Saccharomyces cerevisiae S288C: one gene and its partners. Changing the gene in region 2 together with the main gene of any one other region gives a genetic interaction. Each region holds a gene or a part of one and is shown on either strand. Other genes may lie near its edges.

Region 1 (7,724 bases), on a different chromosome or scaffold from region 2:
TGATCCAACGCCTTTTAGGGGATCATGCTGGATTATCTCCTTCGCTGAGGAGGATTCTTGTAAACTTATATTTGCAGGCAGCTCAGCTCTCCCCTCCTTTATAGAAGTTAGCGCACCAAATTGCTGACTACTTGGGTCTTGGTTTTCTTTATCATCTAAAAGATTGTTTTTGGGGAGTTGGATACCATTTTCTTTCAGGGTTCTTTTCTCCTCTTGTGCGGCTGTTGATCTTGATACGCTTTCTCTAGTAAATTGAGGAATCCGACTTCCCTCCTTCTTTACTGAGTTTAGTGTAGATTTGAAATTTGTTAGGGCTGGATTATTCGCATTACTCTTTTGAAATGTCGTATTTGTTACATTGTTTAAGGCCAACCTTTGTACATTCCTCAAAAACCTTGATGAACTAGTATTCTGTGAGTTTTCTGTGTTTTCTATTGGGTTGGACATCTATAAGATCAATGAAGAGAGAGAGGGGGTAATCAATAAAAGGCTTCTTGGAAGGAAATAGCAAGTTATAAAAAAACTTCTGACAAACGAGCGAATGAAGTTTTTATACAATGATTAAAATTTCTCCAATGTCGTTAAAAGAATCTAAAAGGACAAAAATACAAAAGGAAAACAGATGCTCAATCAAAGAACCGCTTCAACAGATATTCTATGTCAATTTATTGAATAGCTCGCAGTAGGTTTTTATTATACACTGGCTCAATCAAAAAGAAAGAAAAAAAGAAAGAATAAATAACCAGTATCCTTTAGCTATATTTCTTTCGCTTTTCAGAAGTATCAATTCGAGAATACTTTACTTCTTGAGGTATAGGACAAAATTAATACCAGAAAGATTCAATTTTAGTAAATTTTTGGATCTTTTCAAAAGTCTAGCTAAATTGGCAAAAAATTAACCTAAAAAAAATCTATTTTATTATATTTTGATTTTTTTTCCTTTCTAAATTTTTGAGAAAGGATCTATTTCTCTTTTCCCCAAAGAGGTTATATTTTCCATTAAGAGCAAAATTTCTGAAACTCTATGCCCATGCTATGAGATGCTAGCTGTAACGAGTTTGCTATTTCCTCGAGGGACAGGCACCGAAGTTCATCCATATCGCGAACTTCGTTGTTGACCTTTTCCTGATTCGGTCGCTATATTTACAAATCTCCTTTTTTGATTAGTGCCTTGAACTTGCACTTTCCTAAACGGGCTCAATATGTAAACATATTATACAAATAGTTACCCGCATTTGGAATAAAATCTGTCTTTTGGCGGCTATTTCCGCGTGTTTGATTAGAAGGAGTAGTGGTCATTCTAATAATTCCACTGTGCTAATGCACTCGCACTTAATTTTTAAACTTCCGATGCATCAACACTAATGATCATAGCATAAAACGCGTAGAAGGCGATCTTAAGTTTGAGTCCCCCTAAGGCACCTTAGTAGACGGTCAAGAACAGGGTGTGAATATGGGCGATATTCAAGCGAGATTAGGACTTATAAAACAACAACAACAGGGATAACAAAACACTTGACCCCTATTTTTGTAATAAAACCGTTTTCAAGGTAAGGCAGTTAGTAATTTATGTACAACAGAAATTTCTGCCATTTCTTTCACGACAATAACGTAGGATAAGGCCATGAAAAACAAAAATACTAAAGTGCTTATCTAATAAAAGGAAAGGATTAAGCAGTTCCTGCCCATATTTTGGAAAGGCCGTAGCTTAGTTTCCCTGAAATTTACTTCAAGAAAGGTCTGCTTAGCAGTCACATATGTCAATTGTGGGCTGTTTAGTCAAAACCACTTGGAGGTTGATGAATTGATAGTATTTTGGTAAATGAACTAAATATACATTATCAATAAGACGTTGGAGGGGCTTTCTGTATAAATTCACCGAACACTCCCAAATTATGATAAACTTGCTTAAGCATCTTTTCGAAATGCAGTGCATGTGTTAAGTGACAAGCTAAAGGTAAGACATTACGATAATACTCTGTATAGATCGTAGTAACATGAATTATGAAGCATATAAAAATAATATGAAATGTTCATCGAATTTAATAAGTATAAATGCATGAAGATAATAATTCAATAAGATAGATAAACAAAAACGCATGAAGAGAACTTGTAGAACAATAAGCATATATCACCACTCCACTTTTTCTGAAAATTGTGTAGAAATGTAAATTCTGTGATGTTCGTTATGATTCAGTTTCTGTTTCTCAATCTCTATGTCATACTCTTACGCTATATGATAACACACTAGTAGTAGGAAAACTGGTCAAGAGATGATTGTTGTTTCTTTTCCCAACTCATACACCCCAAACAAATGCCTTTATCAAAATCCGATCTCAACACTTATCTTAGTTTACACATTTATCAAATAAGGTTGGCAATGTACCTTTTTCGGAAGGTAAACATCAAATATTTATAGAAATATTTATTAAGGACGCTCTGTTGTATTACGGGCTCGAGTAATACCGGAGTGTCTTGACAATCCTAATATAAACAGTCTTAGGGAAGTAACCAGTTGTTAAAACAGTTTATCAGATTAATTCACGGAATGTTACTTATCTTATATACTATATAAAATATGAATCATACTAAGTGGTGGAAACGCGGAATCTCGGATCTAAACTAATTGTTCAGGCATTTATACTTTTGGGTAGTTCAGCTAGGGAAGGACGGGTTTTGTCTCATGTTGTTCGTTTTGTTATAAGGTTGTTTCATATGTGTTTTATGAACGTTCAGGATGACGTATTGTCATACTGACATATCTCATTTTGAGATACAACACGCTCCGAAGAACTCATCCTTGTTAGCTCAGTTGGTAGAGCGTTCGGCTTTTAAGCGCATTTGCTTAAGCAAGGATACCGAAATGTCAGGGGTTCGAGCCCCCTATGAGGAGTTCTTTACTTTTTTGCACGTTTTACAAATATGCAGAAACAAAGACAATACATATTGTATCAGTTGGTTATAGTGTTTTGGACTTACAAGGTTCTGACAATATACATTAATGTGTTCCTTTTATTGAATGAAAAAAAAAAATAATTCTTACATCTCAATATGAAATTTTATCCTTTACAGTACAAAAGTAATTATTTCGAGAGTCTAATTAGAATGATATCTAGAAAAGGCTTTCCAGTTGAAATTCACCACTGGAATTTTTGGTAAATACACCTTCTTCTGTGATAATTCCGTCAATAAGCTCATGTGGAGTAATGTCGAAGGCTGGATTCCAGACATTGATTTCAAGAGGGGCAATACCGACCTTTCCAGTGATTGGCTCTCCTGACTCATTCAATATCAAGGAACCATTTTCAGGATTAATTACTGTACCAGTAACAACCTTGAATTCCTCAGGGTTACGTTCTTCCACAATAATGTCATCGCCAGTTTCGGTTACATTATCGATAGTTGTTTTGGGAGCTACTACAAAAAACTTAATTCCGAACTGCTTACAAATTACAGCAAGTTGTAAAGTACCAATTTTATTTGCTGTATCCCCATTACGAACAATTCTATCAGCTCCAACAAATGCTGCTTTGATTGGAATTGGACTAGTTCTAATTCTATACGCGATGGAACTATCAGTAATTAAAGTTGATGGAATCTTATCATAAACTAGCTCGTATGCTGTTAGCCTTGACCCTTGATTATAAGGTCTAGTTTCCAGTGGGAAGACATGGCCCATCCTCGGGCATTTTTCATTGTCCAATCCCGAGTCTGCCTTGTCGGTTTTAGCAAGTGAATCCTTCCACAAAGAACGGATAACACCTAAAGCCGTGCCATATCCAGAGGTTGCTAAGGATCCAGTATTACAAATCGTCAGAACGGCAAATTCGTCCTTGAAACCGTCCTTTTGTAACACGTCAATCAAATACTTAGCTCCATTATCACCCATTTTCATGTTATTCGCCAAATCCTCATCTATCAATTCACAGACGTAATTATATAAACTACCGTCAAAAGCCTTTAGGTCACTTGAGGATTTCAGTATGTTCTTTATCTCTACAAGAGAATTTGATAAATTAACGGCTGTGGGTCTACTACTCAAAAGGAAATCTAGCCTCTTATTTAGCACTGTTTTTGTAGATTCCCAGTTAACTAAAGAATACAGCGTAGCAACATCAGAAGTTGGGTTGTGTTTTATTAATTGTACCTCAGTCAAAACAGATAACGAACCCACAATTGCAATTGCCGGGGCACCTCTCACCTGCATACTTTTGATGACTGAGTACCCATCATCAATTGTGTGAATTGGAACGTATTTAGTAGTATATGGTAAAAGTAATTGATCAAGTACCTTTACCGAAACATTTTCTGGCTCCGATCTATCAAAGACGATGGCTTCCAACGACATTTTTTGTCAGCAGTTTGATAGATCACTTTGTCGGTCGTAGATATTGCTCTTAATCTTTTTATTCTAGCATGCTAAATTGATGAATGGGGAATACTTTGGCCGTGCGCCCCATCATCTCATCTTAGTAAGTGAAAAACCGGAAAAACTAACGCCAAGAAGGCCTGTAAAAAAAAAATCTTACTGATTTTCATTTTAGTATATAATACAATTACTATATAACTGAAGAATATTTACGCTAGACACATGTGTGTGTTTCCTCATTTATTTTTTGAAAACTCACTCGTAACAGGGTAAAATGGCTTTACTCCATTTCCATCATTTTCATTATACGTTTCATCTGAGTTTATTGATCTGATATCTGAAGAGTGCGTGGAGCTATAAAATGAATTATGCCCTTCGACTTCAAGGATATGTGAATTATCACGATTTTGAGAATCTGGACTTAGTAATCGATGTATTTCCATAGAAGTTTTTTTCTTATTCTCTTTTTTATGAGGCAAAAATTTGTTACCAATAATATTTCCCAAATGTTGTAAAACTATTCTTACGACGTCTCTTTTCAAAGCAGTAAAAAATTCTTCCCTCGACCACAGTTTGTTATGGTACTTTAAAACAGGGACTCTAACAATCAGGTTATTAACATCGGTCAAAAGGCTGTGTGAACCCTTATAACACACGGACATTAGAGTTTTTCGGATTATAATAGATTTTACATTGAAAAATGTCCCTGATCTTTTGACCATTTCATTGATGTTATAATCAGGTTGCACAAAAAGTGATGCTGACAATTTTCTATGATCACCCTTATGCTTTTTGATACCTTCTTTGCTCTGGATACTACGCAAGTCCCAAGAGTCAACGTCTTTCGCATCGTACACAGATAAAGAACCGTTAGAAAGACTGTGCCGTAAAACTGGAGACGATGAAAAGAAGGAACTAGTGGAAGAACGTGGTACAAGTTCTGGAGAATTGGGTTCTATGGAAGTTTGTTCTATCTTTGGAAATAGATAATTCATTAGTTTTTCCGATGTTTTGTGATCCATCTTGAAAATCAATGGCTGTAGAGAAACAATCAAATCTTGCAGATCTGAAATACCTCCAACTGATGGCCCCAGGATCCAAAAAATTTCTACCATTGGCGCGTTCTTATTATAGGATGAATTTTCATAAAAGGGGGCCAGCAATTCAGTGTAAACGGGATTTTCTTGCTGGTTGAAACATTGTAAGGAAGAAATGGATACTTTATTACTATTAGTGCCATCGGAAGTTTCTGAACGAATAAATGTAGAGGGCCCCAATCCGATAGTCACGAAAGGAGTTTTACTCTCATCGTACAATTCCCATATCAATTCATCTGTTCCAACTTGCCACCTCAATCTTTTCTGTATTACTCTATTACCACTCCCCATCCGGTCGTAAGTTTTCTTGATTGCCGTCATAAGTAACGTCAACTTCAACGTACTAGTTTGAATATCGAAGGTTAGCTCTTGTCCTGATTTCATAAACAATCTTGGCTCGTGAAGTTTGAGGTATGCTCGCGTATAATAGAGTTCCTTTATTCTTTCTTGTAATGCTGTGACAACAGAGACATCAAGATTTTCCAGGTTATTTCTGACCTCATCAGTAAATAATATCCTGGAAAGTTTCTCAACTTTTTCATCCAATGATGATCCAAAGGAAAGTAAATCTTCTGCGATTGCATATACAGCGCAGTATTGTTGACAGTCCGAGGTCAGAACCAATCCTGGAAATGCAATACGAAATCTCGAATCATAAGAGAATGCAGACGTATCATTTGCACTAAAAAATAGGGGATTGGGAGCGACGTAGGTCAAAAACATTGATCTCCGTTTTAGAAAAACATGCTTATCTAATAAAGACCCGTCAAAGCACATTTCAAGAGGAATCCATGGGGGCCATATATCTGACTCTTTGTCGGAACCATATCCATTTTTATGGAAAAATCTACCTTCAGGACCCTCTAAATCCTTTTTGAACAATGTAAACAACTGAATGTCCTTTGAAACAGCGGAATAGCGAGTTTCAACAATAGTATCGACGTCAACGGGAATTCTTTTTCCTGATTTTCCATACACTTGAACTATATCAATTATTCCCATTTCTATATCCCTAGCAGCTAAAATAACTGCTGCGTTCCTTTCAACGTCCGATTTGATCTGAACCTGAGGGGAGATTAGTCTAAAAAGATAATTATCAACATAATCAAAGTCATCACTCGGAACTTCTCTGATGAGTTTCTCAAAGTGCTCAATAAATTCTGAATTACTGGCTAAATCGTCCTCAAGTATTGAACCATAATCTTCTACAGATGTTCTGACCCCAGTCAACACATTTCCCAGTAATTCTTTTAAAATAGTTACGGATTTATAAGTCACAGCAAACCTCATAGATTTCCTTTCGAAAGCACTGGAAGCGTATTCCAAAAGGTGATGCCTGATTTTATTATCGATTTTTAACTCGATATTATGGACCATGAAACGGTTATCATAGGTGGACTCAACCTGCATAGTAGAGGCTTTTCTCATTGATACAAAAGACTCCACGGTATTGGTCCTCAATAGCGATATTCTATTTTGAATTGGCGGTGCATTTTCCAAATTTACATCAGTATCGGAGAGTGAGCTGGAGCTATCACCATCAGTATTTCCTCCAGGAATAGTCTCCGAGATTTTTAAATCGCTCAAGATGGTGTTGACTGTGTGCAATCTGTGGTTTAATTCAGCTACCTCTGCTTTTAATTCGCGTGCATAGCGCTCCGAATTTCCACTTACCGAACCTCCGCCTTTGTTCGATTGCAATTCGCTTAACGTAATATGTAATAATTTTAGTTGTTCTTCTATTTCTCGTTTTCTTTCAGTTGCTAATTTCTCCTGCGTCAATTCTGGATGATTCTTGCCAATCAGACAATTGTGAGATTCTTCGGTACCAAATGGGTAAGCTAGTACGTAACCATCATCATTTATTTTTCTAAAGTAGGATATTCTAGGAGAGTATAGCAATGGTATTGCTTCTAATTTTAATGGAAGTGAGGAACCAAGCGGCACTTGATTCAAGTCTATATAATCCTCATAATCATACCAATCTGATTCACGCAAGTATTCCACATCTTGAGGCGTAATAGGACGTGATGGCTCGTCTTCAAGTATGCCATCGAGTCCAGAAGTAAGAATTTCCTTAACTGCTTCCTGATCAAACAGAGTTGATAATATCCTAATATCTGCTTCTGCACAATCAATCTCACCCCTAGACATCTTAAACTTCCATACAGGTTTTGACTTATTTAATTTTTGGTTCGTATGGGTCAGTTTAACTCTTTTTTGATGCAAATCAATTTTCAGTGAATCAAACCTCCCTT
Region 2 (7,974 bases):
TGCAATGTTAAAGAAGTTGGTGAAATTATATCACATTTGTCATTGGTGATCCTTGTAGGTTTATTCAATGAGGATGATCTCGTCAAAAACATATCATACAACCTTCTCGTGGCAACGCAAGAAGCATTTAATTTAGATTTTGGGACAAGGCTTCACAAATCCCCAGAGACATATGTACCCGATGATACCACCACGTTCTTGGCCCTAATTTTCAAGGCTTTTTCAGAATCTTCAACGGAACTAACTCCATATATATGGAAATATATGCTGGATGGCCTTGAAAACGACGTGATTCCTCAAGAACATATTCCTACGGTTGTCTGTTCATTGTCATACTGGGTACCAAACTTATATGAACATGTATATTTGGCAAATGACGAAGAGGGACCAGAGGCGATTTCACGTATAATCTATAGCTTAATCAGGTTGACGGTCAAAGAGCCAAATTTCACGACAGCTTACCTTCAACAGATTTGGTTTTTACTGGCATTGGATGGTCGTCTCACGAACGTGATAGTTGAAGAAATAGTAAGTCATGCGCTGGATAGAGATTCAGAAAACAGAGACTGGATGAAAGCTGTGTCAATACTAACCAGTTTTCCAACGACAGAGATTGCTTGTCAGGTAATAGAGAAGCTAATAAATATGATCAAATCTTTTCTACCTTCTCTAGCAGTTGAGGCTTCCGCACACAGTTGGTCTGAGCTTACTATTTTATCAAAAATTAGTGTGTCAATTTTCTTTGAATCACCCTTACTTTCCCAGATGTATTTACCGGAGATTCTTTTCGCTGTGTCTCTGTTAATTGATGTCGGTCCTTCGGAAATAAGAGTCTCATTGTACGAGTTGTTGATGAATGTTTGTCATTCTTTAACCAACAATGAGTCCTTACCTGAAAGGAATAGGAAAAATTTGGATATCGTCTGTGCAACATTCGCACGTCAAAAGTTGAACTTTATCTCCGGTTTTAGCCAAGAAAAAGGTAGAGTTTTACCAAATTTTGCCGCTTCCTCCTTCTCCAGTAAATTCGGAACATTAGATCTCTTCACTAAAAACATTATGCTATTGATGGAATATGGTTCTATTTCAGAGGGTGCACAATGGGAGGCAAAATATAAGAAATATTTGATGGATGCGATTTTTGGCCATCGGTCGTTCTTCTCTGCGAGAGCTATGATGATTCTAGGTATAATGAGTAAGTCGCACACGTCCCTTTTCCTTTGTAAAGAACTTTTAGTTGAAACCATGAAGGTCTTCGCAGAGCCAGTTGTGGATGATGAACAAATGTTCATCATTATAGCTCATGTCTTTACTTACAGCAAAATTGTCGAAGGGTTAGATCCTTCTTCAGAATTAATGAAAGAGCTATTTTGGCTTGCTACAATATGTGTTGAATCCCCTCATCCTTTACTCTTTGAAGGTGGTCTCCTGTTCATGGTAAATTGTTTGAAGCGACTGTACACGGTCCATCTTCAACTTGGATTCGATGGCAAATCGCTAGCCAAAAAATTAATGGAATCTAGAAATTTTGCTGCTACGCTTTTGGCTAAGTTAGAGTCATACAATGGATGCATATGGAACGAAGATAATTTTCCTCATATTATTTTAGGTTTCATTGCAAACGGTTTATCCATTCCTGTCGTAAAAGGAGCCGCATTAGATTGTCTACAGGCCCTTTTCAAGAATACATATTACGAAAGAAAGTCCAACCCAAAATCCTCCGATTATCTTTGTTACCTTTTCTTACTCCATTTGGTCTTAAGTCCTGAACAACTTTCTACCTTGTTACTTGAAGTCGGCTTCGAAGATGAACTGGTACCTTTAAATAATACACTAAAAGTGCCACTTACTTTGATCAACTGGCTAAGTTCAGACTCAGATAAATCTAATATAGTCTTATACCAAGGAGCACTTTTGTTTAGCTGTGTTATGTCAGACGAACCATGTAAATTCCGTTTTGCTCTATTGATGAGGTATTTGCTCAAAGTCAACCCTATTTGTGTATTCAGGTTCTATACGCTGACTAGAAAGGAATTCAGGAGGTTATCAACCCTAGAACAATCATCTGAAGCGGTTGCTGTCTCTTTTGAATTGATTGGGATGCTTGTTACACACAGTGAGTTTAATTACCTAGAGGAATTTAATGATGAAATGGTCGAACTTTTAAAAAAGAGAGGCTTGTCAGTTGTGAAGCCTCTGGATATTTTTGATCAGGAACATATAGAAAAGTTAAAAGGAGAGGGTGAACATCAAGTGGCAATTTATGAGAGAAAAAGATTAGCAACAATGATACTGGCAAGAATGTCGTGCTCCTAATTTTAAATTAGAGTATTGCAGTGATTATATACGTTTTTCCTTATAATTATATTTTGTTTTATATTTGTTGGATTGTAGATTTTAAATTAAATGAAACGTAGAGATTTGTGTAAAGTATAATGATTGCAAGGTTAAGAGTGAAACATTTTTAGAGCACTACTAACTAGCATTTTCCAAGGTGGAAAGATCCGAAAAAGCACGATTACCGGAAATCCAACTGTTGACCATTTCCAAACTTGCCTCCGGTTGATCATAGGGCACCATATGACCGGCATCGTATATTCTCAAAAAGGTGAAAGGGCCATAGTTCTTGACTTGTCCCAACTCTTCACCTGTTTCTTTACTGACCCATGGTCTTAACATCCTTCTCTGATACCTACGTTTATTGATCCATTCCAACTCATTGGACCAAGCATGGTTTCCCAGCCAATTACAAATATAATCCTTATCACCCGCATATATTAATACCGGAATGTTGTGATTTAATAATTCAGCAATATATTGTTGAAATGGTTTACTTCCATCGCCCGTAAACAAAAATCCGGTGAACACGTCATTATCACAGCCAGAATAATTATGCACGTCGGACCCTAGCGTTTCTTGAACTTCAGGAAAATTCATATACTGGTCGACATAGCGGAGACCTGTATAACACATACCATCAGTACTATTATCTTCACAGGGCCCTCTAATGTCATAGACGTTGAGTCCTGTGTTAATGTACGGTTCCAAAAGTGCAGAGTCACAGTAAGCAGTGGCGACTATGCATGGTAAACTTGATTTAGAAGCATAACATAACTTGTTCAACCTACGACAACGACCTGCAGCTTTACTCATTTTCTCACATTCTTCTGATGAGAGAACAGGGTGATAGCCCCCTTTCCCGCATGCCATTGGTTCATAATAATCTGCTTGAATCAAAGGGTCTGTGATACCATTACCAATCATAACTGAAGTTAAATTGAACGTTCTTTCAGGGTTCTTGACAACGATCTCATGTGCAATTTGAGGGATATAATGTCCTGCATAGGATTCGCCTGCAATGTGGAAATCGTTGGAGCGTAAATGAGGAAAAGCTTCAAAAAACAATTCCAGGAAAATGTACGCATCTTTGCCTGCTAATTTTGTAGAGGAGACTTTTTCATCACCATAGGAAAAGCCGACTCCGAGTGGCTGTTCTAAGAAGATCATTGAAGCGTTATTATTCCAAGAATAGGGATTGTGGATTGGTTTCATATCGGCGCCAATTGATGAGGGGCCTAGTTCAAATAGCAACCCAGTAAACGAGGAACAACCAGGTCCACCATTTAACCAAAGAATAATTGGGTCGTTAGCAGGATCGTTCCTACTTTCAAAAAACCAGTAAAAAAAGTGTTTGGAATCCTTATAGTCCATGTAACCCGACCATTGTTTTACGGTGTCAATTCCTAGTTTAGAAGGATCTACTGTTCTAAGTCTCAAACTGTAATCTGTGTCCACAGAAGAAATAAAAGTTGTAAACAGCGGATCATCGTGATTCAAACGGTCCAATTTAAGGGTTTGCTGTGTATTCTGTGGAAGCTTTAGCTGTTTATCCAAATTGGCAAAGGTGGTATCATCTTCAAAAAGAGAAAAGGCTCGGCCGAATGAGGCGTATTTGATGCTAATAAGAAGCTGAAGCACGAAAACTAAGTTTAGATACTTCATTGTATGTCGGTATCACTTTTTGTATAGCTGTTTTAAAGAAAAAATGCAGGATGACAATTTTCGTTCTTATATAACCCCTGTCCCCTGACATTTTTCGATAACGAAGCGTTATCTCACCTTTCGTAGAATGCTAGCGCCGCCTCGGCCATTTTTAGGAAATTTCCTAAATCGCTCACATTGTAAACAAGAACATCTTAGAGAACTCTAAGCACTTTTAGAAAAAAGGATTATACTAAACGAGTCAAAAACTATTTATCCAACAAGTCACAGATTGGAATAGTCTCGAAAACTTGATCCAACCACTAATTAAAAGGTTAAAATTAAAGGATGGAGAAAGATCAAATCCAGCCTAGGGTGTTGGAGTCAGTAGACACAAACTCATTATCCTTGCTTTCGTCCAATACCAGCTCAAATATGAATAGCAACACCAACAATAAACTCAGTATAATTGCCAGTGATATTTCTACAGGATCCGTACTTTCCAGGCCCTTGACTCCTCCAGTCGTCCAGGATATAGAGAATAACTCCATGTTACAATGGCAATTTGAAAAGAAGGAATTTATCTTCGATAGTAACAGCACTCCTTCGAAGCAGGCAAAACCATTGCAGAGAAATTCTCCATACCAAGGCAATAGTCAAAGTGAAAATCAGAACCAACAGTTATTGAATGTAAGAAAGCGTCGCTCACAATTGATAGGTGCCAAGCCTAAAATTCCATCCAAATTGTACCAATCTGTTTCCAAATTAGATCTAATTGATGACAAGAGCTTTACGTCTTTGCCAATTGCGCCTCCATGCAATATCGAAACTAATGAAGATGACAGTGGAAACAACGAATACAACAACAATAAAAAACGGCCCAGGTTGAATCCTGTAAATGAACTGCGAGTGCATAACAACAAACGTAATAGGTACGTCAGTTATGGGCCGAGTTTAGATACAAAAAACTACGAGCTAACAGAAAATACTTCTCAGGATATACCACCGCTAGTCCTGGTTGAAGACTACATACCGTATACCCAAAGTAAATCAACAAAAAAAATGGTATCTATTTCAGATTTGAAATCAAAACTAAGTAAAAGAAGAGATAATCATATCCCGCTGAGAGTAAAAAATTCATATTCTGAAATTAATAAGGAAACCAATAGAAATAGCTTTGAACCGAATTCACTAACACTGATACCCCATATATTAAGGAATACTGAAGAAAATAGGGACGAAAGTAACAACCCCTTAGATTTTATCAAAGAGGAAATTGAAATAAGTGATATTTCCATACCAAATTCCATTGAAAATATGGTGGTTAACTTGGTTAATATTCCATCTTCCAATAAAAGTTACGATGATCTTTATCTATCGGAATTAAATGTTCATTCCCAACTGAGGAAATGTGTCATCTGCGAAAAGGCCCTATATGAAATTAGCTCGAGACTTTTAAATTCAGGATACTATAAAGAAATTGTATGTGAGCAATGCACAGTTAGATATGAAGAAGCCGCTAAAATCTTTGAGAACTGCGAGTTCGAATCATCTATGGATGAATCAAATCTAAGCAGCGGTACTTTTAGTGATCTAGAGAATTCAGCAGAACCGTTTCATTTATCGACAGATGTTCCAAAAAAAATAAATAGGCACATAGAAGATAACAAGATCGACCTTAAAAAGGAAATATCAAAAAAAAAGGACAGCTTCTCTAAGGAACTAATAGAACGATTGCAGTTGCAATTGCTAGAAAATGATAAGTCAATCAAACATCATTTTAATAAAGATGCAATGGGCTCTAAATCAATGAATTGGTTTTTGGAAGCAAGAAGAAAATTGAAGTGGAAGTGGAGAATAAATGGTTTACTTCCGCATTTCTTACGCAATCAAAATAGTGATCGTTTAAATTTTCAACCTTGAAAATACATTGCTAAGAGATCACTAAAACAAACAGGACTGCATTGGTGCTGTGTATTTTTTCAAGGGCAAAACAATCAATATATATATGAAAAGCTTACGACTAAATAACAGTTATACTAGTAACGGGTAAAAAATATTCTATGGTGTTCAAGCCTCTATTTTACTTCTACCTACATTCTCAATCCAAATTCAAATCTTCTTCTAGACTTTCATTAGCAAATGCAATTAAAGAGCTGACTGCCATTAAATGGTCTTCTTCCTGCTTCAATCCACTTATAGTTAAGCAGGCATAGGGGTAGTCACTTCTCTCCGATTGTATTAGGACAGCACCTCCATGGAAAGCGTATTCTTTTGAGTCCACAAAAAACTTTTCCTCCGGTGTTTTGTCACCTTTCTTGCAGCCCATATAGAAACTTGAATGACCAAATCGAAGCGCTGTCTTCTTCTTTCTCTGGATCCAAAAATCATTGTCCAATGCACTGCCACCGTAGGTCACTGTGCGAAACAAGCAATGCCCATTTGGTAAGGAGATATCAATTGCAACTGGTTTTTCGGGGAAATTTTCTTTAACTGCATTTCTTATGTAAGTCCCCAAATCAAAGGCATCTTGATATGTAAAAGTAGACAAAAAGCATCGTTTTTCCATATCTTCGAGCTCTTCTAAGGGAACCTTACGAGAAGTCAATCTTTCCAATAACTTCTTGTCTAAAACCACCATAATAATTTTCTCCGTAGACTTTTTTTGAATAATTTGCTCTTATAATAAGGCTTGATTAGGTTGTTTCTCTTTTGAAATGCGAGATAGTCCTTAATATTATTACGTACGTATATGTTATGTTAACTTATATGGTGTCAACATCCCTGTTAAGAGAGATAGTATGACATGAAGCGGGGATAAGTATCTATTAACTCCGCCGGAGAAAAGCACCTGCAGTGATGGTTAGATCAAGAGGAAGTTCGTCTGTTGCCGAAAATGGTGGAAAGTCGTTACCAAAATGGAAGCCAACCAATATACATCTTGCTTAGATTGTCTTCTGATGTTGCTTCTTGGATCAATGTTTCTGTTTGGCCAGCAACACTCAATACCAGGCCATCCTGCGGATCTATACCGCGGATTTTGTTTCTTAAGACCTTTAGCGCTTTTTGAATTGAGTGGTCCATGTTTCTATCGTACATAATTGTTTCGATCACATTCATCAACGCTACTTCATTTTTTCTCATTAAAGCCAACGTGACTTCACTAGACTTCTTAAATGTTCCTTCTGTCCCAATTATGCCCAACGCATCCAATAAATTTGGTGTTAGTCTGAAGGGAACAATTTCTGGGACAGGTAACCTTTTGCCTTTCTCAAATAAACAGTCGAAGTCTACATGAAGAACTTTACCCGTCTGTATATCTAGTAATATGTTTTCACAGTGCCTATCACCTAGACCTAATATATGGCCAACCATTGCCATGACGGCGTAAGATCTGGCATACGTATTCCTGGCGTTGAACCAATTGATTGGATCAGGAAAGTTTTCTAAAAACCATTGGTACAAGATTGGAGGAAATTTATCTACCTGTTCCATGTAAAACTCGAGTTTTCCATCTACTGCGGTGTGCTGCCACCTATCATGTAGACTTTTCAGGCTATACTTAATTTTCAGACTTTCGTACTTTGTAGAAAGAATAGATCTTAAAGTTACAACATTCGGTACCATTTCCAATATCCCACAGTCTTCTCGAAGAGATAGTACGGAGTAAATATTTATGCCCAGGCTTCTTTTTCTTGAAGCTATGTCCTTACTCAGAAGAAAATCCATTGTTGTGGCGAACTGCATATATTGGTTATCTTGTCGGACATCTTCCTTCTTACACATGATCCCATAAATGTTGCCATCTGAACCTATTATGTTCAATTGTTTTGGCTTCTTTAATGAAGAAAACACTTTATAAGATGATCCGAATCTAATTATAGAAACAACCGGCCTAAATGGTTGATAGCCCCTCATTGAGTTAGACTCTAGTGGTGAAATGATGTCTAAATTTTTTCTTACTGGAACAACCATTGCAGATGGGGCCACGTT
Region 3 (8,095 bases), on a different chromosome or scaffold from region 2:
TTTTCACGCAATATCTTCAACAGAATTTGAAGGACAATCTCATATCTGGATAACTCTGTTTATTTTGCTTTTATTTTATACTTTAATGCTGTGAGTGTTTTATGCCGCTAAATACTGTTCTCTGTATATGCCAAACGTTCTTGATAAAACCGTCAACCGATAATAACAATGTAGGAGAGGCCTTTTAACAAAATTGAACGGGTTGTAATGAGGATTAAGAACTTTTTTAGTTTTGTTTTGATGTACGCCCGGATTTGCTCACCTCTTCATTCTGGCTACGTCTCCTATTTACTTTTCAGGGCTAGTGCAGTATCATTGAGTCCATTGAAGAAGAAAAAGCCTCAATAATACCAAGAGTACTTTCGATCAAGCGGATTCTCAAAAAAATTTCCACTGTTACTATTTTTTTATTTTGGAGAGTGAAAATGAAATAATAATGAATGCAAATCCTCCATAGTTCGTCAAAATATCATATTTTCAAAACCTTCCATCTTTTTCTCAAACCTCTATGATTGAGTATGAGTTATCCAGTACCAGCGCCCATCACGATACCTTAAATAGTAAGAGACAACGGCAAATTATTAAAGATTACAAAATAACTCGAGAGTAGCGCATCTAACTGACTTTGATCAAGGTTGCCACTATTCAAATTGATGCTACTCTATTCAAACAGTGGTTCTGAGCTCAATACGGTCAAACCTTGTGTAAGAAGAAGAATGTCAAGGAAAAAGAAACTCTTAGTGCTAAAAGAAATTGGGCTGCTAGAGCTGCTTCTGCCAAGATCAAATCTCACATGTTTATCATTCATGAGCACCGGTGGTTTCTTTATAAACTGTTTCAGCCACATATCATCTGGGCACACCGAAAACTTGTTAGTTTTAACTGATGATACCTCCTGTTTGAAGTTCATTTATCCTTCATATCACTGGTAAAGCGAACTCTTCTTCGACGTCAAAGATCAGTAAATTCTTGATAAACGGATAGTTAGAGTGATATTTTTTATCTAAAACGCCCCTTTTTGAATTAATTCAAACATTTGATTTACTGTACCTGGTTTGGCAACAACTTTATTACCTAAACAAGAAATAGCAAAATGACGAATAATATCAGCCGCTGTTACAACAAACTTACAGTACCATGTTTTCGTAAGGGTAATAATATTATCTGTACGGAATACATATTGGCGGAAAAAGCACAGTCCAGCTCGCGAGATATGCAATATTCTCAAACAGACATATATTGTTGCCCTCTTTTTAACCGTCTATTGATAAAGTAATTGTGCTTCTCTCTAAATAGCGGGCACTTCCATTATATATATATTTTCCAGAAATTTTGAGTGGCGTATCTCTTACATACTACTAACACTAATCCTGGATTCTTACACCAATTTATAGCGTTATACAGTTCAATTGAGTATAATGAATCATAGACTTTATTATAAAAGTAGTTTTAACAAGAGGAATGTTAATAGTTCATATAATTGATTATTAGCAGAAAAGATTCACCTAAAAGATGTAGGGGCAGGTAATCAAACCGATGTTATCTAAAAAAAAAAGACATATAATTAACTTCGTTAAATTAGAAAATGCGGATGTTTCTTTGCGTCATAGTGTGGACTTGATAGAACAATACCTCAAGCTACCTTTGCATTGAGTATGACGTATTATGTAGGATATATGTGGCGAGTGATTAGATAGATTTTTTTAGCTGCACTTAAAAACAGTCAGGGCTGGGCGGCAAAGTGGAAGGTAAGTAAAGAAAAAATGGTAAGATAAGGAAGCCGCGATGGAGAAGATGAAACATTCACTGCTTTTTAGCACTGTGTTATTCTTCTTGTTAGCTTATTTGACAATATTCGCCATTGCGTTGGCCCTGGGGAAAAAGTGTGCACTTATAAGGTCGTTACTATCTTTATTGCAGTTAACAGTCTTCGTCATATGTATAATCATTACGCTGTAGGTTTCTTATTTTTATATGAAGCAGTGATATATAACATAATAAAGTTTCATCGCCTTTTACACAGTATATAGGGCTTCACCTATACAGTCCCACACAGTAACACACTGCGAAACTATGTATCTCTTCTCTACTTATAAAAGAAAATAAGATATGAAGGACAATAATGAAAAGGAGAAAGAAGAACGGTATTTGTAACCTGCATTTTGTTTTTTAGTGGTGCTTTCGCTAGAGCCGCCACTACTTGAGAAAGAACTAGCATCATCGCTTTGGGCTGCGGTGGCAAGCAATGATTTGTACTGTGAAAATTCCGAATACGAGGTCCAGCTGACATTAATAAAATCTCCTGTTCCGATGGGACTACCGGGCTTATATACCCATGTACTAAAGTATCCGGGAGCAGGGGTGGCACCTGGGACAGTATCGGAGATAACCTCAATATCTTCTTCTTGATTATTAAAGCTAGCCTGAGCAATAGAAATTTCGTAGTTTTCTAAATCGTAGACTACATATGCGTCGACAAGGAAAGCATCTCCCAGCATATAAGTGGACTCGGATTGCTTAACATTTAAAACGCAACGATCCTTAGCTGATGTTACGAAATTGGATATGTTTGCCGATATATTAAATCCTCCAAAGTCGACGGACAGTAAAGTATCGTTCACTTTTGAACAATCAAAGATGTAGCCTTGGTCGTCAGAGCTGTACTCTCCGTCAAAACTTTTGCCGATTGCTTCTGCAATTTCGGTGGGTAAATAGGAGAAAGTTGTGCCAGAATCCAACATCACTGGAAATTGAATATCCGAAACAGTTTTATTGCCAGATTCACTATCCAAAATTGCCACACTTTGTGCAGTAATAATCATCCCAGGATTTGAGCCAAGGGTATTGAATGCCTGCAGCATAGGCAGGGTGTAAAGCTGTCCTGTGTACTTACTTTTGTCCACTGCACCAAACAAGATGCTCCCGAAGTGTGCATCAGGTCCATTCAAAAATAAAGAATACGCTATTTTATTAATCTTTCCCTGATTTTTTAATTCCATTGGAAAGTTATCATATATGAAAGGTGTTCTGTTCAATGCCAATGCGTATTCGATACCATCTGTAAATTCTGCAATGGGAAGCGATATGCCTAAAATGCCACTTGGATTGCCTATTGTATCATTTGATACACCAAAAGTGAAATCATTTAGAGTAATATTTTCGAAAGAGACAACATCCGTACCATAAGTCCCTGCATAATACGTACCATCTCCGTATGTGTTATTGAAAAACGTCGCATTATTCTCAAAAGTAGATGAGTTGCTTGCATCGAATGTACCCCAATAAGAGCAGAGAGTGTTATAAGCTTCTGATGAGATGGTAGTCGAAGGAAGCCCATTGAACGTTGCTGTGAGCTCGTAATTATCAGTTGAAGCGTAGTCAGATCCGTCAGACATCGATTTGCAATAGGCAATGTCAGCATTATTCACAATCATATCTGAAGAGCCAGTATCTAACTGTAGGTACAACGTTTGTGGAGGCGTTCCGATTTCCATCTTGACAACATACACTCCTATTCCATTTATCACTGTGGTGTTAAGAACCTCATTTCTTTTGAAGACGGTAGAAACATCCTGTGTGCATATATTTATAATATCAGCCAACTTTTGAACAGGAAACTTAACATAGGAACTTGCGGAAGACCCTAAAACGGTCAATGAACACATCAATGATGACAACAAAGAGAGGATGGAAATCAATTGCATATTGATAGCTTTGCGTTGTCTTCAAATATCCTTATTTTCGAAAGAGACAAAATTTAACAACTGATCAACCAATGAAAAAAGAGAACAAGGAAGAACGATGAAAAACCCTATTCCAAGATCATAACACCTTATATACTCTCAACTTTGAAAGCAGTTCCAAAGCTTAAATCCTCGAAGAGTACTGCTTGCATGAGGTTTACGCAACAGGTCTAGTCAGTTTTAACTCCTCGGATATCTCGAGATATTTTGCTGTAGTGAGCGACAGGGTAGCAAATTTTTGGACCCTTAACCCCTTATACAAATTACCACCATATGTTCCTTTTCTGCAGCGAAAACCTCGGTGTTGTCAGAAACAATTTAAGAAAAGCACAGGCGAAATTGGGCTTGCACTGGGTGATCAACAATGCCAGAAATAAATGAGAAGCTTTTTACTCTTGCTTTTGCTTCTTCCTCTTTATGTTCAAGCCAGCCAAGCTATGTTATAGTGTTGAATGTCTTGAACCGTTATAGTTTCTAAAAATAACTTTACATTTTGTTATGCAATCTTCATCATCTCGAACTTTTCAACAAACGTTCAACAGTGATGGTCTTCCCCAGTGAACCAAAAGACATATGACGCTCGTATGGTATGTTAAAAACAACATAGAGGATAGTAGGTCGGGGTTTATTGTAGAAAGGACATAAATAGTTGACGTGGTAAATTTTCATCAACTAAAGCCACATCTATTTTGCCAAGTAGGAGATAATGTAATATGTAGAGGGATCGAGATTTACTGAAGCCTCACGTGAGGGCAATCTGGAATCAGATTGCACTGGTTTGCACCATACCTCTCAAAGAAGAAAACGTACTACTTTTTTAGTTGAGTATGGATAGGGTAGTGTTTCCTAAAGTTATAAGGTAAAAGGGGCAGAGGAAAAGTCGATAATAATTTGAAAGAAACTTGCTTCCATATTCACAAAGGAGCTGGATACTTCATGTCATCCGCACATATATCTACAAAAATTTCAACTTTTTGAGGTTGATACTAAGTCTTTCGCTACCAAAATGAAAGAAATCAATTTGGAGAGACTTAGGCTGAATATTTCCGCGTTCTCTCTGGGGATGAAAGATTTCTTACTGCAAAGAGTTTCAGTATTTACGGATTGGTTACAATTTTTTTTTTTTATCATAATCAATTCTTTGAATATCAACTTCTCTCAATACCATCCGCCTCTCAGCGGCTACAATTACGTAATTGCACCAAGGCCTTCGCCGAGAGTTTACATATTTGCAGACCCTAACAGTATACGACTCCCAACACACGTTTAATGTTGTACGAATTCAAGAGATAGAAATATTTCTTGCATGGAAGCCGTTTAGAGCAGACTGAATATGGGCTTAGACAATAAGCTTCTGTACGAGGGTCCAAATCTAAAATTCGGATATTCTTTTTGACCGAAAAAGGAAATGTCACAGGCACAGAAAAGGGTTTTATAAGGCACCTCGGCACCCTATAATTGGCATTCCCACATTCTGCGCATACGAATACACATGAGTGCCATAAAACAATACTCCACATACGAAGTCTATGAAAGATGTATGATTCGTTCAGAAACAAGGTCATCTCCATAGAGATAATGAGATTGTGTGAAAGATGAGATATGGAGGATATGTGAGGTGCTAAATGAGCACCTGTTAACGAATCGTTTAAGTAGTGATGACTGATGAAGGCATGGGTATAAATAGAGCTGCTTCAACTGTATGTCTTTGAGAATATGTTTTTATTCCTTTCTTTCCTGTTAAGCTTATATCAGCACTAAAAAACAAAACAAATATAATGGTCAAATTAACTTCAATCGCTGCTGGTGTCGCCGCCATCGCTGCTGGTGTTGCCGCTGCCCCAGCCACTACCACTCTATCTCCATCTGACGAAAGAGTTAACTTGGTCGAATTGGGTGTTTACGTCTCCGATATCAGAGCTCATTTGGCCCAATACTACTTGTTTCAAGCAGCTCATCCAAGTGAGACCTACCCAGTTGAAATTGCTGAAGCTGTTTTCAACTATGGTGACTTCACCACCATGTTGACTGGTATTCCAGCTGAACAAGTCACCAGAGTTATCACTGGTGTTCCATGGTACTCTACCAGATTGAGACCAGCTATCTCCAGTGCTCTATCTAAGGACGGTATTTACACTGCTATTCCAAAATAGAGACATGCCTTTACGAATGAGATTCCATAGACATTGAAAGTAACGAAAAAATGAAATAAAAAATGCTTTCAATATAAATACAGCTGATTACATATAAACATATATTAATATTATAAATTCATTTGCTTTCACGAACTACCGGCTGGGCGTCAATATAATAGGGAACGCATAGTTGCTCTTTTATCTTTCTCACAACTAGGGGTTTTTTTATGTGAGCTGTACGGAATAGGCCAGTTTTACAACAGGATTCGTAGATCAGAATCCGTTCAAGCTATTCACCTGTTACAGCAGTAGAGTTGCTCTTGTCTTGACCCGTGAATATTAAATACTGTAGAACCAGAACGGATACTTGAATATATTCAACGATGGGAAAATAAAAAGACATATAAGAAAAATGTGCTAGTACGGTAAGGAGGATACTGAAAAGAAAAGGAAAATATAGTTTAAAATAGTAAAGATAACCCACTTTCGTTATGGGTTTAGTGAGGGTTGGTAACGAACCGTAGCGCGGTGTAGTATGCTGTGAATAATTGTACTTTAGCATAGTTAACATTACAATCTTTGTACGTTTATATAACAAATATGATAGAGTATGAGAAAAATTAAATGATACATTTTGAGGTTAAGGTTGAAACTATTATATGGAAGAAAGGTGGAATATAGTTAGGGCCAAAATGACACTATAAATGACATGATGTGAGCCTTAGTAAGGTGAGAGCTACGCTTCCTGGTTTAAATCAAAACCGAGAGCCCAAAATATTATCGGTATCGACGTAACATTTCAATGTCATTCAAGCTTAAAGGAGATCAGCGCAAATGCGTGAAGTCTTAGTCATTGTAAATGCGATTTTTCTTTGTTGAAGGTGAAGTCGGAAAATTCACATGACTGCAAAAAAATCCTAGTCTACAGTATGGTAACCAAAAAATGCTATATATACATATGTCCTGCATGAAAGAGAGGGCGAGTTTTCAGTTTGACAAGCTTTCTCTTATTGCTGCTATTCCTCTCTTTTGTTTGCCATTTTCAAAATTTGTTTTGTCTAACCATTCTTCAAAGGTTTTACGAATGCGTAACCATTCTTTATCGATTATTGAAAACCATTGAGTGTCGCGAGTGCGACCCTTATATACCACCACTTGTCGAAACGTGCCTTCATACTTAAAGCCTAAGCGCATCGCTGCCCTCCTTGACGGCCCATTTAAACTATCACACTTCCACTCATATCTCCTGTATTGAAGATCATCAAATACATACTTCATTAACAGAAATTGAGCTTCAGTTGCAATAATCGTCTTCTGTAATTCTGGTGAAAAAACAACATATCCAACTTCTAGTGAACCGTTGGCTTCATCGATTCTTATTAAGCACAATGTACCAACGGCACGTTCAGTCTCTTTATTAATAATTGCGAAAGGCACAGTATCTTTAGTTTCATTGAGTTCCTTAATGAATTCTAGATATTCCTCCAAGTTAGTGAATGGTCCCGCAGGTAAATACGTCCATAATTTTTGGCCTGCCTCACTATAGGCACTAAAAAGTTCCGAACCATGTCTTTCTCTATCTAGAGGTTCTAGTCTGCAAGTGTTACCTTTCAATACAACTTTCTCTGGGAAGGCCCTTGTTGTCCAACCTTCGACGTCAGCACCAACTTCTTGCCCAAATATATTTAAATTCGCCATAATTGTTTCTACTGAAGGGCATTATTTCCAGGTTCAGAGGCGGGAAAATTCTTGCAAGGCGTCCTCCCATGCTATTTTTATATCATTGTTGATTGTTTATCAACCTCTTATCAACCTCCTATCAACCTTTGAAGAATGGCTCAAAAAAAAAACAACCTTCCATTATGAACCAATAAACAGAGCAAATATCACGTGCACAAAGAACTACGAACTTTTTGACTTTCACACTGGCGATGATCCAAGACGTATTACAGTACAAGAGATCTGCTTTATTGTAAGCCCAGTAAACAGCTTCTTATAGACTCTGCAAATATAGGTACAGAGTTTGCATAATTTTCTAATATACACTTATGCCTTATGATAATCCCAATTTTGAGAAGGAGACAAATTCAGCGAGTGGCGTATAAGTGCGTGCGCTATTGAAACAAATCTCACATAAATGTGTTTATGATCAGCAATAACCTTATCGATGCAACAGAAAATGTGATTCGCGAAATTTGCATCTTTCTTTTCAAAAAA
Region 4 (8,229 bases), on a different chromosome or scaffold from region 2:
AGCATAATGAGTAAATTAAAGAGTGCTCTCGATGGGCTATCACGTGAAGTAGGCACTATCACCACCGGAATGGAGATCAATTCAGAGCTGTTACAGAAATTTACCCTTCCAAGTTCTGATCAAGCTAAATTATTGAAAATTTTAACTACGGTTGATTTTCTTTACACTCACAAAAGAAAAGAGGAAGAGCGCAACGTTAAAGACCTTCAATCTTTATATGATAAGATGAACGGCGGACCAGTGTGGTCCTCATTGAGTGAGTGCTTATCTCAATTTGAAAAGAGTCAAGCCATCAACACTTCAGCCACAATCTTACTTCCGTTGATCGAATCACTTATGGTTGTATGCAGGCGTAGTGACTTAAGTCAAAATAGAAACACTGCAGTCAAATATGAAGATGCTAAATTATTGGATTTTTCCAAAACACGTGTCGAAAACTTATTTTTCCCATTTACAGACGCACACAAGAAGTTGTTGAATCAAATGATTCGTTCAAATCCAAAACTGATGAGTGGTCCTTTCGCATTATTGGTCAAGAATCCAAAAGTTTTGGATTTTGACAACAAAAGATATTTCTTCAATGCCAAATTGAAGTCTGATAATCAAGAGCGTCCTAAATTACCTATTACCGTTCGCCGTGAGCAGGTTTTCTTGGACTCTTATCGAGCCTTATTTTTCAAGACAAACGATGAAATCAAGAATTCTAAATTAGAGATAACATTCAAAGGAGAAAGTGGTGTCGATGCCGGTGGGGTAACCAGAGAATGGTACCAAGTACTATCGAGACAGATGTTCAACCCTGATTATGCTCTTTTTCTTCCTGTACCATCGGATAAAACTACTTTCCATCCTAATCGGACATCAGGTATCAACCCTGAGCACCTTTCTTTCTTTAAATTTATCGGGATGATTATAGGGAAAGCAATTAGAGACCAATGCTTTTTGGATTGCCATTTTAGTCGTGAAGTATACAAGAATATTTTGGGTAGGCCTGTATCATTGAAGGATATGGAGTCTCTTGATCCAGATTATTATAAATCATTGGTGTGGATTCTTGAAAACGATATCACAGATATTATAGAGGAAACTTTTTCTGTTGAAACTGATGATTATGGTGAACATAAAGTTATCAATTTGATTGAGGGGGGCAAGGATATAATAGTTACAGAGGCCAATAAACAGGATTATGTGAAAAAGGTTGTCGAATATAAACTTCAGACATCTGTTAAGGAACAAATGGATAACTTTTTAGTGGGTTTCTATGCCCTTATATCCAAAGATCTCATTACAATATTTGATGAGCAGGAATTGGAGTTATTAATCAGCGGTTTGCCTGATATTGATGTCGACGACTGGAAAAACAATACTACTTATGTTAATTACACCGCAACCTGTAAGGAAGTGAGTTATTTTTGGAGGGCAGTTAGATCCTTCGACGCTGAAGAACGTGCCAAGTTGTTGCAGTTTGTTACCGGTACTAGTAAAGTTCCTCTAAATGGGTTTAAGGAACTAAGCGGTGTCAACGGTGTTTGTAAATTTTCCATCCATCGTGATTTTGGTTCATCAGAAAGACTACCATCATCACATACCTGTTTCAATCAACTGAATTTACCTCCTTATGAATCATATGAGACATTGCGTGGTTCACTATTATTGGCAATCAATGAAGGGCATGAAGGGTTTGGTCTTGCCTGATCATTTTTCGTGTAAATTTATAGCGCCATGTAACCAAGTATTTTAGAACGTCTTTTATTTAAACCTTTAACCATACAACACTTGCCCAAGGAAGAGGAACAGAAGGATTTTTTAATTTGTAAAAATGCGTTTAATCTTAACGAAACATAATACAGATTTCATGTGCATTTCGCCCTTTTTTTTTATGACAAGCAATATCTTCCAAAGTTTCTCAAAAAGGTATGATGTAAGATACAGTAAATGATATGTAAAAAAAGTACAAACTCCACTTATAAAACCATATTGAAACAGCGAATGGTTATAATATTTTACATAAAGATTAATAGAATACACTTACCTAAGAAAAATATCCGTGAAAACAAATTACAAAATTAAAAGTCACTTATCACATTAGAAACTCAAATACGAAAACAAAACAAAGAAAAGTAACAAAAAGTGGTTTGAAGACGGAAATACGATCATTCTTTCCATTCCCAACATGTCATGATCTCTCCATTTTCTTCAAGAAGATATAATTCTATATTCTCTGATTGCTCTTTCATGATTTTTTCTTTCGTTTGAGCCCATAGATTATTCTGTTCTTTTATATTTGGTATGTCGCTCAATAAAGTAGCTCTTAGTTGAACTGTTGTCAGAAAAGGTTCTTCACCTTTGTTCTTCTTTACATCTTTCAATTTATCAATTGCCTCTTTTACCAATTTCTCAATTATCTGCTCTCCTTGAACGTAATTGTCAAGTGTCGATTGTATTTTTTTGATAAGGAAAAGGACGCCTAGGGTGATAAATAAAGAACCACCATATTTCGTTATATACTCCTGTATATCCCCTTCTAAATGACATTGCAACGTAACCCATTTTTTTGAAGTTGAACGATAAATATAGTTAGTGTTATTAGATTTAGATTTCTCTCTTTTTCCATTAGTTTCAAAATCTAATGGCAGCCAGATAATATCATCTTTTTTCTTTAATATTTCAAGCACATTTTTCCAATGATCATTGAATTCCCTTTGACTTTCCCATGACGGTCTAGAATGAGAGAATATATCATATAATTTGGTTTCCGTTTCACCACTCTCAAAGAGATTCTCTCCTTCACCACATTCATGTTGTGCATTCTTCTTTTTAAGATATTCATTTACTTTCCAAACCAGTTCATCAACCTCCTTTTCTTTACTTTCATCTTTGGCACAATATTTTGGAAAAGGAATAATACCATACGTTTCTAAAATAGAACTTTTAGGCTCATAGCCTGGTTCACACTCAACATTCATAAAAGAAGAACATATTCCATGCTCAGGACATTCGAGACAATTTGGTCGATAAGCTTGCAACACTGAATCTACCCTTTCAGTCTGAGGGAAAGCTGAGATTGCAAGAGATTTCAGGGGCTTTTCATGACCGCAATATCCTACTTGAATTCTCTGTTCTCGATACCAAAGACCAAAAAGAATAGGACATATTATTGAAAGGAAAATAGCACCATTCCATAACCAAATGAAGAGATGTGCAATAAACGGTTTCATAATATCTATCCCTCTTTTAGTTTTGTTGGCAATGAAGTGCCTGGTGCGACCTTTTGGACTTCGTATATTTTTTTTCGACGATAACCTACTAGTATCCTCTTCGTCTTGATTATCAAAAGTTTCTGATATTTTTGTTAGTTCTTCTTTTGCTTCCTTCACCTCAGGTTGGACTTCCAAATTGATATTCTCCATCACCTCACTTTCATTTCTTGTTTCTGCTCCAGTTGAAGGACCAACAGGCTCTTCTGTTTCGATTCTGATAGACGATAAGTCCGTGGATTTTATAGAATGATCATAATTCTCCGTAGCTGCACTAGCTAACTCTTTATTTAGTTGAGCTAAAAATTCGTTTGATACTTTTAAATTCGGCAATTCTGGTTTTGGAAGCTCTTTTACCCTTGGTTTGTCATCCGAAGAATCTTTCTTATGAAGTTCTTCTACAGTTTCCAGTTCAGAAGTTAAATCAGCAGAAGTTGCTTTCCCATCTGACTTAGATTGTGGAGGAGACTCTGGTGGTTTATTGGCCTTACTAGATCTTTTCTTTCTTTTCTTTTTAGGAGACTTCTCTTCCTGTATTTGCATCTTCGCTTCATTATCCGTACTAATTTGTTCCCTTTTCCTCTTGTTAGTTTCAACATTTTCATCTTTGACAGTTTTACTCTCACTAGAACTTGATTCAAGCTTTTTACTCTTTAATGTCTTTTTGCGATCTGCGTTTTTTGCCCCAGACTTCACAACCTTTTGAATGCTAGTTCTAACCTTTGAGGCCTCAGGTGAAGATTGGAGACGTTGCCTCACTTTCTCCTCAAACAATTTCACCAAGACAGGCTTCCTAGCGTTGGCAGGGAACGCAACATCATTTTCTACCAAAACTCTTCTCAATTGGCTGACCTTCAGCGTTTTCGGATCAAGGTTTCTGTGATCCATTGTCGATTAGTGAAGATAGGAAACTTCCTTTTCTACTATTATGTCCGTTAAAGTTCATCCTACCGTTTCTTTGCTGTTAAAATCTCTCTTCTTTTTTATTTTTTTCAAACTTATCTCTTACTATTTATGGAAGGACGATCAAGAAAATGTATATACTATCCCTTCCCCTACGCATACAGAATATATTAAAATGAATAGATAATAGAAACATATACCGATTGTAACATGAGTTTCGTCCCAGAATATAAATTGCTTGAAAAATTTAATACTATTTAGTAAGCAGGATCACTATCGTCACCAGAAGCCCGCAATGTGGCCAGATATTCTCCTCTTGATATCTTGTCCTCAATGGCCTGAATGGTGTAGTCACTAAGAGTTTCTTCATAGGGACCCAATATTTCCACTAGCGTTGTTTTTGAACCGCTTTTGCCATCAGATTTGCATCGAGATGTATAGGGCTTGCCTAAAGGAATTATCCACATAAGTATGTTAGAACCCATAAAGTCTTTTATATTAGCTAAGATTGACTTTTTGTCCCAGAAAGAGTGAAATTCAGATCTATCGAACTCTACCACAAACCTCAACTTGTTTGCTTCCGAGTAATAACAAAATATCTTCCTTGTTCCAAATTTTTTCCTTTTGCTATCTATGATAGCCTCCAAAGACGTCTTGTTTTGACTCATGTAAAAAATACTCGATGCCAACAAACTTGCGGTTAATAACCATCCAAGGATGGCAAACACTAACGTTGAAATTATATTTGCGTTTAAATTGGGGCTATAATTATGATTGTGTTGAGTAATAATTCTTATGTAAACGCAAATAGACACCCACATGATAAGTAAAAGTGTTGAAAAATAAGCAGCAAACTGCACAAAGAGTCTATAATTGTCTCTACCAATAACAGTCCCTATCCACATGCAGTAATGATCAAAGCGAGGAATGCAGTGGCCTAGTTCTGAAGAATGATGCGTTCGTTCCATTTTCAGACTTTGACATTCACTGCACCATATTGGGTATCCGTGAGGATCAGACTGATAACACTTAGGCGGAACCACAGCATCGTATTCCACTGAAGTGTTTTGAGAAGTGTTGCTAGTCTTCTCTTCAGAGGCTATAGGAAGGATCAAAAAAGGTGCTACGTGCGGTTGGGTACCTGGACCGACCAAGATAACTATTTGAAGCCATATGAAAATCACGACTACGTCTAGGAAGCATACCGCACAAATAAGACCAACCGAAACTGATTTCTGACGAAGTCGTTTGTCGACTTGCTCGTAACATAGTTTATGGCAGTAAGCCCACGTACCGTAGCACAGTAAACCGAGCACGATAATCGGTAAGATGAATCTAAACCATGACCTGCGCCTGATTCGAATATTCCATGATAGAGCCATTCATATACAACGGTTTAATTTCTGCCGTGTCGCGATGAAAGGACCTTAGCTAGGTTCTGAAAATATTACAACGGGCAGATATACGCCTAATTAGTTGTTTTGTTTGAGTGCTGTGTTTATGCTACTATTATTTAAAACGTAAATAGTGGAAAAAAAAATCGACTAAATGGTCCAAATCGGGCCGTTCGCTCGTAAATTTGTTCTTAAGCACTAATACTAAAGAGAGTATACAACAGAACAGACGCACAAGACAGCACTCATCATCAGCTAAGAAACTGAACTGCTTGTTAAAATTTGAGTTTGTTTCCTCTTAGGATTTGCAGCATTAGTGGGCCCCCGCACACAAGTAAATATAAGTGAAAGAAAAATGCTTATGGATGAGTATGAGGAAAACAAGGACATGTGTCCGATCTGTAAGACAGATCGATACCTTTCTCCGGATGTGAAATTTTTGGTGAATCCTGAATGCTATCACAGGATCTGTGAGTCGTGTGTTGATCGAATATTTAGTCTCGGTCCTGCCCAGTGTCCATATAAAGGGTGTGACAAGATTCTTAGAAAGAATAAGTTCAAGACCCAAATATTCGATGATGTGGAAGTTGAGAAAGAAGTTGACATCAGGAAGAGAGTGTTCAATGTGTTCAACAAAACTATCGATGACTTCAATGGTGACCTTGTGGAATATAACAAATATTTGGAAGAGGTGGAAGACATTATATACAAACTAGATCACGGGATCGATGTGGCTAAGACCGAGGAGAAACTACGCACCTACGAGGAATTAAACAAGCAACTGATTATGAATAACTTGGAGAGAAGCAGAACAGAGATAGAAAGTTTCGAACAGAGACAAAAATTCGAAAAGGAGATGAAATTGAAGAAGCGACTGTTGGAAAGACAAATCGAAGAGGAGGAAAGAATGAACAAAGAGTGGACAAAGAAAGAAATCGTCAACCGGTTGAGTACGACCACCCAGGATATCAATGAAACAATCGAAGGCGTTAAAAATACGGTTAAATTGAAAAAATCGTCCGCTAGAAGGAAATTGGAAGAACTAAATAGAGTTCTGAAAAACAATCCATATTTCAATTCAAATGTGAACGTACAGAATTCGAGACTCAAAGATGCTGTACCGTTCACGCCGTTTAACGGTGATAGAGAAGCACACCCAAGGTTTACGTTGAAAGGTTCAGTATACAATGACCCATTCATCAAAGATCTTGAGCACAGGAAAGAATTTATTGCGTCTGGGTTCAACACTAATTATGCGTACGAAAGGGTGTTGACAGAGGCATTTATGGGCTTAGGATGTGTTATATCCGAGGAGCTTTAAAACATCAGGATAGTGTGCAACGTGGCATAAGCTATGTAATCAACTACTTTTTATTTTCTATGTACGCATATACATGCATTCACGATCTGTTTCAGTGTTCAGAAAAAAGGCACCTACTGCTACGGTTGGCCCATACCTTTATTCTTTGTTCTTGTTACAAACGAGTGTGTAATTACCCAAAAAGGAAATTTACATGTTAAATGAAACCCAGTAATCAGAAAAAACAGTTAAGAAACCTAAAATGGTAGAGATAAAGATACAGATTCAGTGGTTGCTGAAAATCAAGTAAAAAAATGAAATAGAGTCTTCATATATAAACCGCCAGAAATGAATTAATGAGAGGGATCTGTAACTGTTTCTCGGATAAAACCAAAATAAGTACAAAGCCATCGAATAGAAATGCAACCATCTACCGCTACCGCCGCTCCAAAAGAAAAGACCAGCAGTGAAAAGAAGGACAACTATATTATCAAAGGTGTCTTCTGGGACCCAGCATGTGTTATTGCTTAGTTTCTGCGTACAAAAACGTTGTTCTCCCTCCTTTATCTTCCTTTTCCGCTACACCAATATATCATGTTTGTTCGTAATATTTCTTTTTAGACCTAATAATAAATATCCTAAGTAACTATATTATATAAAATATTTTGATACCCTGTACCTGCTTTTGTTATCGTTGTACATCCATGCACACGCTCATATATATATATATATATATATATATGTATATGTACATATACCGCTTACCACCTACCGTGAAGTATATGTAAGGGTCTTCGCACCCGGATATCCCTTGTGGGATCTTGGATGCGGATGGTGAGTGTAAACAGGCCTCATAAAGCTGTCTCTGTGTGCGGAAGATGTCGTTTCATCGGCTTCGACCTCCTCCTTATCTTGCTTCATTGTTTCTTCGTAAGAGGGCGGATCTACGGGCAGCGGGGTCGCTGTCTCCTTGTATGCATGCTTATTTATATCACTCTTTCCGCTATCCATCATAATCTGTTTTTGTTTATGTGCTTTGAATACTCAACACATAAAATAATATCCAGTTAATTGTCGTCTGTCCATTGACGCTTTGCCTTTGTCCCTTTAGACTGTCTTTATTGTGAAATATGCACGGCTGAGAATTACGTATACAGTGACTATCGTATGGGGCGACAAAAGTTCCCAGCGAGAAACAAGATGAAGCAGACTGGGGCCTGCCTGTATGGAGGGAAGCATAAGTTAATATACCTCCAGATATTTGCAGATTAGGATACTGAACTGACGAAGACCTACGCTACACAACGAAGATAACACATGCTGGCACAAACATTCAAAAAACCACACAGAGCCGTTCTAGAACAGGTATCTGGGA

What was found.
Region 1: mutations in ATG42 (region 2) and MRI1 together harm fitness more than expected from each alone (negative genetic interaction), as found in Saccharomyces cerevisiae (one large-scale study listed by BioGRID).
Region 3: mutations in ATG42 (region 2) and YPS6 together harm fitness more than expected from each alone (negative genetic interaction), as found in Saccharomyces cerevisiae (one large-scale study listed by BioGRID).
Region 4: mutations in ATG42 (region 2) and HEH2 together harm fitness more than expected from each alone (negative genetic interaction), as found in Saccharomyces cerevisiae (one large-scale study listed by BioGRID).

The regions. Positions count from the first base shown.
Region 1 is NC_001148.4:764,376-772,099, reverse strand, and holds MRI1 (S-methyl-5-thioribose-1-phosphate isomerase MRI1), read right to left. Parts: upstream 4,349-7,724; coding exon 3,113-4,348; downstream 1-3,112. Other genes in the region: B-type cyclin CLB2, read right to left, coding at 1-447; HOB2 (Hob2p), read right to left, coding at 4,606-7,724. UniProt on the Saccharomyces cerevisiae protein: Catalyzes the interconversion of methylthioribose-1-phosphate (MTR-1-P) into methylthioribulose-1-phosphate (MTRu-1-P).
Region 2 is NC_001134.8:511,692-519,665, reverse strand, and holds ATG42 (carboxypeptidase C), read right to left. Parts: upstream 4,003-7,974; coding exon 2,476-4,002; downstream 1-2,475. Other genes in the region: GTPase-activating protein IRA1, read left to right, coding at 1-2,316; YBR138C (uncharacterized protein), read left to right, coding at 4,330-5,904; YBR137W (uncharacterized protein), read right to left, coding at 6,083-6,622; protein kinase MEC1, read right to left, coding at 6,892-7,974. UniProt on the Saccharomyces cerevisiae protein: Vacuolar serine-type carboxypeptidase involved in vacuolar zymogen activation, breakdown of the autophagic body, and autophagosome-dependent protein synthesis.
Region 3 is NC_001141.2:428,408-436,502, forward strand, and holds YPS6 (aspartyl protease), read right to left. Parts: upstream 3,705-8,095; coding exon 2,091-3,704; downstream 1-2,090. Other genes in the region: seripauperin PAU15, read left to right, coding at 5,522-5,896; YIR042C (uncharacterized protein), read right to left, coding at 6,866-7,576.
Region 4 is NC_001136.10:1,377,902-1,386,130, forward strand, and holds HEH2 (Heh2p), read right to left. Parts: upstream 4,146-8,229; coding exon 2,154-4,145; downstream 1-2,153. Other genes in the region: E3 ubiquitin-protein ligase TOM1, read left to right, coding at 1-1,695; palmitoyltransferase PFA5, read right to left, coding at 4,418-5,542; TFIIH/NER complex subunit TFB3, read left to right, coding at 5,910-6,875; MFA1 (mating pheromone a), read left to right, coding at 7,275-7,385; CMI8 (Cmi8p), read right to left, coding at 7,623-7,865; mitochondrial 54S ribosomal protein mL40 MRPL28, read left to right, coding at 8,172-8,229.